3 linked regions of the Rattus norvegicus genome follow. The protein of the gene in region 1 purifies or fractionates together with the protein of each later gene. This does not show direct contact. Links are inferred from orthologs where the notes say so. Each region holds a gene or a part of one and is shown on either strand. Other genes may lie near its edges. The genes, in order: Rel, Tnip2 and Nfkbia.

Region 1 (3,644 bases):
GTCGGGAAAACCTCTGTGGGAACTGTCCAGCTCTGCAGCTGTAGCAGAAGAGAGAGGGGACTCTTGGTCTGGCCTGGGGCTGGGCACGGCAAGTGGTTGGTCAGCATGCCACAGGTCCTACCCTAGCACCATTTTAAAATGGCCGTGAGAGACAGTACACAACCAAGGGCGCTCAGCCATGTTCGACAGTTCAACAGTTATAAACAGGTGCCTATCCCCGAAATATAACAGTTCCAACATAGCCTTCAGAGGCCCAGTCTCAACAGTAAGAATGTGAGGGACTGTGGGGAAGAAAGAGATTTAAAAAGAAGTTATTCCTAAAAAACGCACAAACAGTATTTTACAGGGATAGAATACCTTTTTTGATGAATCTTGTTTCTCCAATTGACTCCAGAGGGACAGCTCTTGTTTTCTCAGGGAAGTGACTTGGTATGATACGTTTTTCTATTATTAAATGTATTTTGAAAAAATAGTTTATCACTTTAAAAATTTAAAGACAGAATAAAGCAAGTAGAAGACATTTACTTAAATATAACTCAATCAAAGTGTTCTTACCACAATCTTGCAGCAGTTTCTGAAAAATGAGAGTCGTCTTTTGCTTCTTTGATTTATTGCCATAGGCATCTGATTGGAAAAGAAAGGGGAAAGCAGTGAACCATGGGATTCTGGCTCCCCCACCGTAACATGCGCTCTATCAGCGGCATACGGAAGTCTTAAATACACGTGAGTGATACAGGCTTCTAAGTACGTTATTGTACAATACATCCATATCGGTTACAAAGGACACTTCACTTTTAATTTTAAAAAGCTTAAAAATAGTCATTTTTCAACCTAAAAACACCTAAAAGTTAACATGAACTAACACAATCAACCACAATAGATACAGCTTTATGATTAACAAATTTCCCACCTATAAAAGGGTTCAAAAAGTACAAAAAAAATTCCTAAAATACATACATAGAAAATATGATCTAACAGTTCAAGAACTCTACAATTATTCAAACTCTCCTAAGAAATGCAAAGACTATGAGGAAAAAAACAAACCAAGACAAAAACATACAACTGAAAACTTCCAAGGAAAAAATACAGATTCTGAATATATAAAACTATACTGAAATATTTATTTTACAATATTGCGAACATGATCAGCTTAAGACAACGATCTATTCTTCAGGAGAGACTGGGACTCGGTCAGCTCAGCACTTGCCAGTGCACATAAAAACCTGAGCCCAATTCCTAGCACCACATTTAAAAAGGCAGCAGGGAGTGCACAGGGCACACTGCCGTAATCCCCATGATCAGCTAAGAGTCATCCTCATCCATAGCTCCATAGGGAGTTCAAAGACAGCATGGGCTACATGAGTCTGTTTCCAGTCCACCCACATGTGCGCACACCACACACACACACACACACACACACACACACACACACACACCTCACACACCCCACACACACCCCAAACACACACATACACCACTACACACACACACACCACACACACCCCACACACACCCAAACACACACACACACACACACACACCTCACACACAAACACATACACACACACACACGCACACACCACATACCTCACACACACCACACACACACACCACACCACACACACACACACACCACACACCTCACACACACACACACACATACACACACCACACACACACACACAGACACACACACACACACCTCACACACACACACCACACACACACAGACACACACACACACGCACACACACACACCTCACACACACCACACACCTCACACACACCACACACCTCACACACACACCACACACACACGCACACACCACACACCTCACACACACCACACACACACACAAACACACACACACACCTCACACACACACACATACACACACACACACACACACACACACACACACACACACACACACACACACACGTCACCCCCGGCTCTCGTCTACCTTTTTCATCTGGCAGGTATCTGAAGTCCATAGACTCGCTGACTTCCTGGTCGGAAGGCCTCCGCAGCTGCATTTTCACTGTCACGGGCTCCACTATGGCTCTGCAGTATGGAGGCGTCCTGAAAACAATGGCAACTTGGCGGTGCACATCAGCTTGTGAAAAAATACCTTTGGCTTCCCAGTCATTCAACACGAAACGAACTTCTATATCATCTAGTGAATAAGAGGCCAAAGAATAATGACAATGGGGGAACAGTAAAATACATATACTAATCAAACATATATTACTAATTCAATTAAACAAAACTGATAAATACCTTTCTGAACTTTGTCACAGAGCAGAAATATTTCGTCTCCTCCCCTGACACTGCCACAGTTCTTGTTCACACGACAGATCCTTAATTCTGCAGTATTTGGGGCACCTAAATGCAGAGGATTAAAAACAGTGGGTCTCAGCACTGTCTTGTAATGCTAGTGATGAAACACCATGACCAAAGGCAGCTTGAGGAGGAACGGGCTAATTCACTCATGGTTCCATGTAATAGTTCATCATCAAAAGCAGTGAGGGTGGATTGCAGAGATGGCTCAGTGGTTAAGAGCACTGGCTGTTCTTCCACAGGTCCTGAGTTCAGATCCCAGCAACCACATGGCGGCTCACAACCATCTCTAATGGGATCTGATGCCCTCTTCTGGTGTGTCTACAGAGACAGCTACAGTGTACTCATATAAATATAATAATAAATAAATCCTTAAAAAGGAAACAAACCAAATATATTCTTAAATATCATATTAATGAGTTCTTAAAATTAATACATAGCCATATAAAATCATGCTGCTGAACAAGGTGGCACAGGCCTTTCATACCAGCACATGGGAGGCAGAGGCAGAAGTAGAGGCAGGTGGATTTCTGTGAGTTCAAGGGCAGCCTAATTTACAGTGGGAGTTTAGGACAACCAGGACTGATACACAGAGAAACCCTTTCTTGAAAAAAAGAAAAAGAAAAGCAACAGAAGGAAGGAAGAAAGGAAGGAGGAAGCAAGGAAGGAGGAACGAAGGGAGGGAGGGAGGAAGGAAGGAAGGAAGGAAGGAAGGAAGGAAGGAAGGTAGAAAGGAAGGAGGAAACAAGGAAGGAGGGAGGGAGGGAGGAAGGAAGGGAGGGAGGGAGGAAGGAAGGGAGGAAGGAAGGGAGGAGGAAGGAAGGAAGGGAGGGAGGGAGGAAGGAAGGAAGGGAGGGAGGAAGGAAGGAAGGAAGGAAGGTAGAAAGGAAGGAGGAAACAAGGAAGGAGGGAGGGAGGAAGGGAGGGAGGGAAGAAGGAAGGGAGGAAGGAAGGGAGGAGGAAGGAAGGAAGGAAGGGAGGGAGGGAGGAGGAAGGAAGGAAGGGAGGGAGGGAGGGAGGGAGGAAGGGAGGAAGGGAGGAGGAGGTAAGGAAGGAAGGGAGGGAGGAGGAAGTAAGGAAGGAAGGAAGGAAGGGAGGGAGGGAGGAAGGGAGGAGGAAGGAAGGAAGGAAGGAAGGGAGGGAGGGAGGAAGGGAGGAAGGAAGGAAGGAAGGAAGGAAGGAAGGAAGGGAGGAGGAAGGAAGGGAGGGAGGGAGGAGGAAGGAAGGAAGGGAGGAGGAAGGAAGGGAGGGAGGGAGGAAGGAAGGGAGGGAGGGAGGAAGGAAGGGAGGAAGGGAGGAAGGA
Region 2 (3,744 bases), about 21 Mb from region 1:
TGTGGCCAGGCCTGGTGGCAAAAGCCTGTAATACCATCTACCTGGAAGACTGAGGCAGGGCGGATCCAAATTCATTGCCTGCCTGAGATTCACAGTGAGTTCAAGACCAGTTTGGGTAAAAAGCAAGAAAATAACCAGAGATGTGTGCAGCTCAATGGTACAGCACTTACTTGCCTGGGCTCTAGCTTCAATCCCTAGTACAACTGGTGTAGGGATGGGAGGAAAACAAGAAAAGGAAAAAGAAATCTAGTTGCAGTGGTAATCTTGGAAACAATATTATCTTTTACCAGCTGCTCCCCTGTCAGGCTTACTGTCCATGGGGGAAAACCAAGATAGCCATGGACCAAATGGAATAACATGCCAGCATTCCTCCAAATGTGGGGCAAGGTAGTCAGATAGAGGCGACTGCTACAGGAAAGTGTTATCACGCATTTCAGTTTTGTGTGCTTGTGGAACCAAGTAATAACAAATGACAAGGAGAACCAAGTAAGAATTTACATATTCTCAGATTGGCATCTGCTGCTTCTTCCAATATAATACCAAATACCAACCAAATCCCAATATAATACTAAATATAACACCAAATACCAACCAAACACCAATATAATACTAAATATAACACCAAATACCAACCAAAAACGTGGGTCTTTTCTCTCAGAGTCCCAGTCTTCAGAACCCTATGCATCTCTCAGGTTCCTGGCACTCCGCACAGGATTCAGAAACTCACATTCCACAGAAGACCTCCCTTCACAGAACACAAGAACCAAGACCTGCACTGCCCCCTCAGAGCCAACACAAACACAATGGAACCTGTACACATTCCTCAAAGAGCAATGCCTGTCAGGATGTCCTTGAGACCCTCTTGACCCCATGCCTCACTCATGTCCTTTAGAGCCTCTAGTGTCTGTCCCTCAGAACCCTACCTACAGAACCCTGAACACCACCCCTCCCAGAACTCCATCTTCGTCAATCCTGGTGCCCCACTGGTGTGGCTTGAATAAGAAAGCGCCAGGTTCAGATACTTGCATTTTTCATCATCCAGAAGTAGCACTATTTGAGAAGGATTGAGACATGTGGCCTTGGAGGAACTATGTCACTGGAGATGGGCTTTGAGGTCTCAAAAGCCCACACCAGGCCCTGTGTCTCTCTCTGACTGTGGATCAGGATGTAGCTCTCAGCTACTTCTTCAGCACCAAGCCTGTCTGCATGCTGCCACACTCCCCACCATGATGATAATGAACTAACTCTCTGAAACTGTAAGCCAGCGCCCAATTAAATGCTTTCTATTATAAGAGTTGCCCTTGGTCATGATGTCTCTTCAAAGTAATAAGCAGTGATTAAAGCCGCTACACACCCCTTTGGGACCCAGAGCACATATTGGAGAAGCTCACTACCAACAGAACCATGTGTTCAAGGCTACCTCAGAACATTATGCCCCACAGATCCCTGCACTCTCGGATCCCTCACATTCCTCAGACCTCTGCCCCCATGGAATTTCATGAGCAAGTTTCCCACAGCAGCACCCCCAAAGTCGAGAGACCCAGGGGGTCTGTCCCAAATTAACCTCCATCACATGTTCCTCAGAACTGCTCATAACCTCAACAGAATGTCAGGACTTGGTACTCCTCAAACGTCACACTTCTGCCACCCTGGTGCTCACCAGAACCCTGTGCCCCAGAGACTCCTGCTCAACTCTGCCTAACTCTCCGGCCTACGAATGAATCTCGAAGTGCTCAGTATCCTGAACTACCCAGACTCTCGCCTTCAGACCCCAATCCCTCAGGATTCCCTGCGCCTCAGATCCCCACGCCCTTCAGACCCTGAAACCTCAGGACCCAGAGCTCCTTAGGACCCACTTGCCTCAGGATCTCGTGTCCCTTATAACTCAGCTCCTTTCAAACCCCAGCGCACCCCTTAAACCACCATGCTCCAGACCTCGAGCTCTTCAGACCCGCACCTCGAGCCTCATACCCTCGGGACCCTCAAGACCTCGCGCACCTCTGGACTCAGTGTCACACTCTCCAACAAGCTCCCTAGGCCACCTTGGGCAACAGCTCTTGCCCTCCCCGCACCTGCCGCAGTTGGGACTCCGAGGCACCATCCTCCTGTCGCCGCAGCTGCTCACGGAAGCGCTCCACCTGATCCAGAAGTGCGTCCACAAGTGATGGTGCCGTGTGCCCTTCCAGAGCCGCGAGGCGGGTGCGGAGGCTCGCGATAAGGGCGTCACGCGCAGCCAGCTGATCCTTCAGGAGCTGTAGTTGCTGGCCTGCCTCGTGGTACAGGCCACAGAGCGCTGAGGCCGCGCTCGGGGCCTCGTCCTGTCTACCAGACCTTGCGTCCCCAGACGACATAGCTGTGGGCCTTCCGTGGGGACTTGGGCGTCTCCAACTTCTCTAGGCTGCGGGAGCGATAACCAGCCTTCCCGGAACTTTTCCCGCCCCGCCCACTCCCTGAGCCTAATCCGCTTCCACCTACAGCTGGCTCCGCCTCGCCCTCTGCCCAGAGTCTGACTCCGCCCCCGCACACAGCTGGCTCCGCCTCGCCCTCCGCTGGGAGTCTGACTCCGCCCCCGCCCACAGCTGTCACCGCCCCTCTCTCTCGATGATCTCACTTTCTCTTGACGTGCCAGCTCCCTTCTAGGTGCTGTCTGCCCCACAGTCTTAGACTTGTCACCACGGCCCTATTCCCTGCGTCTGAGGTATTTTCCTGGAGTCAGATCCCATCTGTGACCAGGGTTTGGGGTTAGGTATCCTCTGGTACAGCAGCTGAAGAAAAGCAAATAAATCCAAGGACTTCAGACATTGGACATGAAGTGTGGTCAGGTTTCATTGGCGGGGCTCCTTCCTCTTCAGGGACTTGACTTGTGTTTCTTCATACAGGGACACTGAGCTCACAGTACATGGTGGACCCCAGAGCCAGCCACCAAACGCCAGCATGCCCCTAAATTCGAGTTAGGATGGCCTTAGCGCTAGAAACTGTTCTTCAAGCAGAAGACAGGAGGGCGCTGGCCCTTCCCTTCCCACAGCTTCCATACAAACCCTATTTTTCCTCTGGGAAGTCTCTCCTCCGTGAAGATCTTTCAAAGGCTCCTTGCTAAGATCTCATGGAAGTCCTCTCCCTAGGTGAGGATGTGTTTCTTCTCTGCTCAGTCTCCTTCTCAGTATCCTGTCTGCTCACAGCCAAGCTCTGGTTGAACCTGCAGGAACACACTCCCTTGCAAGTATCAAACTATATGCAAAGCCAGACCTCACCAAGAATTTATAGGATGGATACTAGGAGTCACGGACCTGGCTCACTTATGTTCAGCTCCTTCTTAGCCTTCAGAGCCAAAACTCCAGTCAGAAGCGATGCATCGCAGCTGCTGCCTTCCCTACCTGGTAGGGGTGTTATCACACTAGAGAATAGGTGTGTATTTTTTTTTCTATTACTGTGACAAAATGCCAGGACCAAGGCAGTTTATAGAAGCATTTAAGTGGGATTAAGGGTCAGATGTTTAAAGCTGAGAGCTCATATCTTGATCCCCAAGCAGGAGGCAGAGAGCATGCTGAAGTCTCAAAATCTCTCTGCCCAAGTGACATGGCTCTTCCAACAAGGCCATACCTTTTTTTTTTTTTTTTTTTTTCCGGAGCTGGGGACCGAACCCAGGGCCTTGCACTTGCTAGGCAAGCGCTCTACCACTGAAAGGCCATACTTTTAAATCCTTCCCAACCTTACATGAGTCCCTAATTGGGGACCAAGTATCCA
Region 3 (3,744 bases), on another chromosome or scaffold:
CATTCCTGGACTCTCTCCTCCTCAGCCTAAACAGAACGCAGGCGCCGGGCTGCAGGAGTTCCCTTCACCAATTCTCTCCTTTCAAAAGTCTAAGCTATTGCAGGGGACATAGCTCAATGGTAGAACATGTGCCTATTACCACGTGTTAAAGCCTGGGTTCAATTCCCACAACTCCCTCTTACTGCCCCATTCCGAAACCCACAAGGGTAAGCTATTAAAGCAAACCAGAGACACGTTCTTGGGATCCTGGCTTTGCAAGCTGAGACTGAGAAGTTGAATAACTCAGGTCCCTATGATACAGAACAGCTCTAGAACAGACCTAGGTGTGGTGAGGGAGAATGGACCACTCTGGCAGTAATGAACACGCACCTCATCTTCCGTGAATTCTGACTCCGTGTCATAGCTCTCCTCATCCTCACTCTCGGGCAGCGTCTGAAGATTTTCCAGGGTCAGCTGGCCCAGCTGCTGCTGTATCCGGGTACTTGGGCGGCCCCACGTAAGCTGGTAGGGGGAGTAGCCCTGGTAGGTTACTCTGTTGACATCAGCCCCACACTTCAACAGGAGCGAGACCAGGTCAGGATTCTGCAGGTCCACTGCAAGGTGGAGGGCTGTCCGGCCATTACAGGGCTCCTGAAACCAAAGGCAATCAGAAGTGTTTATCTGGAAATCTGCTCACAGTAAGAGCCAGCCCAGCAGAGTTTAGGAGGAAGGGGAAGTACTCACCTGAGCGTTGACATCAGCACCCAAAGTCACCAAGTGCTCCACGATGCCCAGGTAGCCATGGATAGAGGCTAAGTGTAGACACGTGTGGCCTGCAGGATATAAGACGGAACTGTAACCACTTGTTTCAATCCTCACACAAGTCACGTCTCCTTTCTTGGGGACAACCACAAACAACCTCAATTTTGAAGAACTCAAAAGTCTGGGTTCTCAGTGAACGTCATGTAGGAATCATGGAGAAGACTTTTTAAAAGTCCACACTGCCTGAACTTCTTATACGTTGAGGCGTTTTAGCTCCAGGCTAGACTCAAGGGGACCCGTCTCTCCCTTCTCTGCGTCCCTGGATGGACTGGCAGACCTACCGTTGTAGTTGGTGGCCTGCAGGACGGAGTGGAGATGCTGGGGCGTACAGGTCTGAGTCAAGACTGCTACACTGGCCAGGCAGCCCTGCTCACAGGCAAGATGGAGAGGGGTATTTCCTCGAAAGTCTCGGAGCTCAGGATCACAGCCAGCTTTCAGAAGTGCCTCAGCAATTCCTGGCTGGTTGGTGATCACAGCCAAGTGGAGTGGAGTCTACGAATGGAAGAGGAAACAGAAAGAGCCTAAGCCATGGAGCAAACCCATAGTCTTGAGTTTCCTGAACCCCAGACACCTCCTATTACAGAATCCCCTCCTCCCATTTGTCTACAGGAGATCAGGCAAACAGGAGGCCCTACGTGGGTCATAAAGACCTCAACCAACCCTTGGGATTTTCCTTCTTGCTCTAAGACTTTGGCTAATTTGAATGTAAAAGGCCAGGGCAGATAAGGACCGTGACTGTTAATTTAGAAACGCTTTGGGGGCGACTGAGCTTCATCTAACTCCACCACGGGGTCAAAGAGGGCACAGCTGGGCAAGCCCGCACCTGCTGCAGGTTGTTCTGGAAGTTGAGGAAGGCCAGGTCTCCCTTCACCTGACCAATCACTTCCATGGTCAGTGTCTTCTCTTCATGGATGATTGCCAAGTGCAGGAACCTGCGGGATGACAGGGAAACCCCCCAGGGGTGGTGAGCGCACTGCGTGGGGCCCCCGAGAGGCGCGGGCTGCGGGGGATTGCGCAAGGCCGGGGTTTCTGGAGGCCGCGGCCGCGGTGTTTTCCGCGAGGTTATTATGAGCTGAGTGTTCCTGGCAGCCGCCCAGGGACTTTCCGTGCCCCACCCCCTCCGGGCGGGCGCCGGCCAGACCGGCCCGCCCTCCGCCGCCCGGAACGCCCTGTACTTCCCCTCGCGGCCGCGCAGCGCCCGGCGGCTGCGCGGAAACTCTGCCAGGCGGGGACTTTGCGTCCTCGTTGCCGCCCCGCCCCCGGCCTGCGCTCGGCTACTCCGGGTCCCGGGAAATGGGGTGGGGGGATGGGGAGGCAGGCGGCCCGGCGCCCGCAGCTCTGTAGCCCCGTAGCCCCGCAGCCCCGCCGTGCAGAGCCCCGAGCGCGGTGCAGGCCCCGCGCGACCCCGCCCGTGCCCATGCCCGAGCCCGCCGCCACTTACGAGTCTCCGTCCTCCGTGAGCTGTTGCTTCCAGGGCTCGGCAGCCAGAGGCGCCTCCTGCGGCTGCAGGCGGATCTCCCGCAGCTCCTTCACCATCTGCTCGTAATCCTCGTCCTTCATGGAGTCCAAGCCGCTGTCGTGGCGGTCGTCCACCAACCGCTCCTTCTTGAGGCCGTCCCGCGGGCCCTCCATGGCCCAGTCCTGGCCGTGCCCAGCTGGCTGAAACATGGCTGTGCGGAGCTGAGCGGGTGCAGGGTGCAGGCTGCTGGCAGTTGGGTGGCGAGTTCAGACTGTTGTGGGCTCGGCAGCGCCGCCTCGGCGCCCTATAAACGCTGGCAGGGGATTTCTCAGGGGCGGGGTCAGGCGCGGGGAATTTCCAAGCCAGTCAGACTAGAAAAAGAACTGGCTCGTCCTCGACTGAGAAGCCTAAACCCAGGGCCGGGGTTCATCAGAGAAACTCCCTACGATGAGCCACTGGGGTCATGTACAGGGAACTTTTTGATGAGCCCTGAGTGGCTGGAAAGTCCTCCCGACCAGGCCCCCTCCCTCTAGGTACTTCCCTGCAGCCTGCACTCAGTAACCCCAGCGTTCTACAAGAGCCCTTCTTTCCCTGGGGTTTCCCACCGACGACTTTGGTTTGGGGTCCCAAGCTGCTGAGATTCCAAGGACGCAAACCTGCTAGGCTGTTCCTCTTAGAGATTTGCCAATTTGCAGGTCCTTTCCGGTTCTTGATCTTTTGAAAACCCAAGAGTGGAAATGGCTGGCTGGGTGCAGGGATTCGCTTCTCCTAAATTTCTGCGACGACGGACGTATGAGTGATTCCGGGTCGTCTGTGTTTCAGGCTCTTTGCAGTGCATGGACATTTGGCTGCCCTTCACCATCCCCCCTCGAAGCTGTAGACACTTTGGCATTCAAACAAACAAAACCAATAACAACAACAACAAAATCCAAGCGCCTGGAGAACCCCTAGATTAATTCCGAGGGGTCAATAATCTCGCCCGGGGGAGGGGCAGCGGGGGAGGGGCAAAGTCTAGCTCCATATGGGAACCACATTTTCCCCCAAGTAATGCAAGGTGTTAATCTTTGTAGAAGTTGTAGCTTCCATGCAACAGAAACTGTTGAGTTCTTGCTGTTGGAGTTAACTTGTTAACTTGTAGAGAATAAAGCCGGAGCTTATTGTGAATGCCTAGCAGAACAACTGGTTTAGTGCCCTAGCCTCTTAAACATAGCTAAGAAAGTAACTTTGAAGCATCCTGCAGGAGGCTCAACATAGTCCTAACACTGACCACATCTGAAACCTGCTGGTTCTACTAGCTTCCTTGCTTCCCAGGGACCGCAGCATTGTGGGTGGCTACTCCTCAAGAAAGGGATTTGGGCCTGTGATCCCCTAGTTTTACCTGCAAAAGTAGAAGTGTTGCTTCCACCCCATCCCGACTTAGGAGCCTGCAAGTGTGAGGTAACTCGGGAAAATTAAAGCAACTTGGATCACAGTTTGTCAGAATA

Evidence for each region.
Region 2: the proteins of Rel (region 1) and Tnip2 purify together in Homo sapiens (affinity purification with mass spectrometry; 3 studies listed by BioGRID and IntAct, counting the BioPlex papers as one, with this or other methods). This does not show direct contact. The link is inferred for Rattus norvegicus from reciprocal best matches to the Homo sapiens genes REL and TNIP2.
Region 3: the proteins of Rel (region 1) and Nfkbia purify together in Homo sapiens (affinity purification with mass spectrometry; 6 studies listed by BioGRID and IntAct, counting the BioPlex papers as one, with this or other methods). This does not show direct contact. The link is inferred for Rattus norvegicus from reciprocal best matches to the Homo sapiens genes REL and NFKBIA.

What each region holds. Positions count from the first base shown.
Region 1 is NC_086032.1:101,897,827-101,901,470, forward strand, and holds part of Rel (proto-oncogene c-Rel), read right to left. Parts: intron 2,387-3,644; coding exon 2,282-2,386; intron 2,178-2,281; coding exon 1,965-2,177; intron 625-1,964; coding exon 556-624; intron 445-555; coding exon 358-444; intron 1-357. UniProt on the Homo sapiens protein: Proto-oncogene that may play a role in differentiation and lymphopoiesis.
Region 2 is NC_086032.1:80,451,607-80,455,350, reverse strand, and holds the start of Tnip2 (TNFAIP3-interacting protein 2), read right to left. Parts: upstream 2,416-3,744; 5' UTR 2,352-2,415; coding exon 2,073-2,351; intron 1-2,072. UniProt on the Homo sapiens protein: Inhibits NF-kappa-B activation by blocking the interaction of RIPK1 with its downstream effector NEMO/IKBKG.
Region 3 is NC_086024.1:78,594,485-78,598,228, forward strand, and holds the start of Nfkbia (NF-kappa-B inhibitor alpha), read right to left. Parts: upstream 2,589-3,744; 5' UTR 2,470-2,588; coding exon 2,243-2,469; intron 1,734-2,242; coding exon 1,625-1,733; intron 1,294-1,624; coding exon 1,083-1,293; intron 813-1,082; coding exon 724-812; intron 631-723; coding exon 370-630; coding exon of another isoform or gene 283-369; exon of another isoform or gene 1-282. UniProt on the Homo sapiens protein: Inhibits the activity of dimeric NF-kappa-B/REL complexes by trapping REL (RELA/p65 and NFKB1/p50) dimers in the cytoplasm by masking their nuclear localization signals.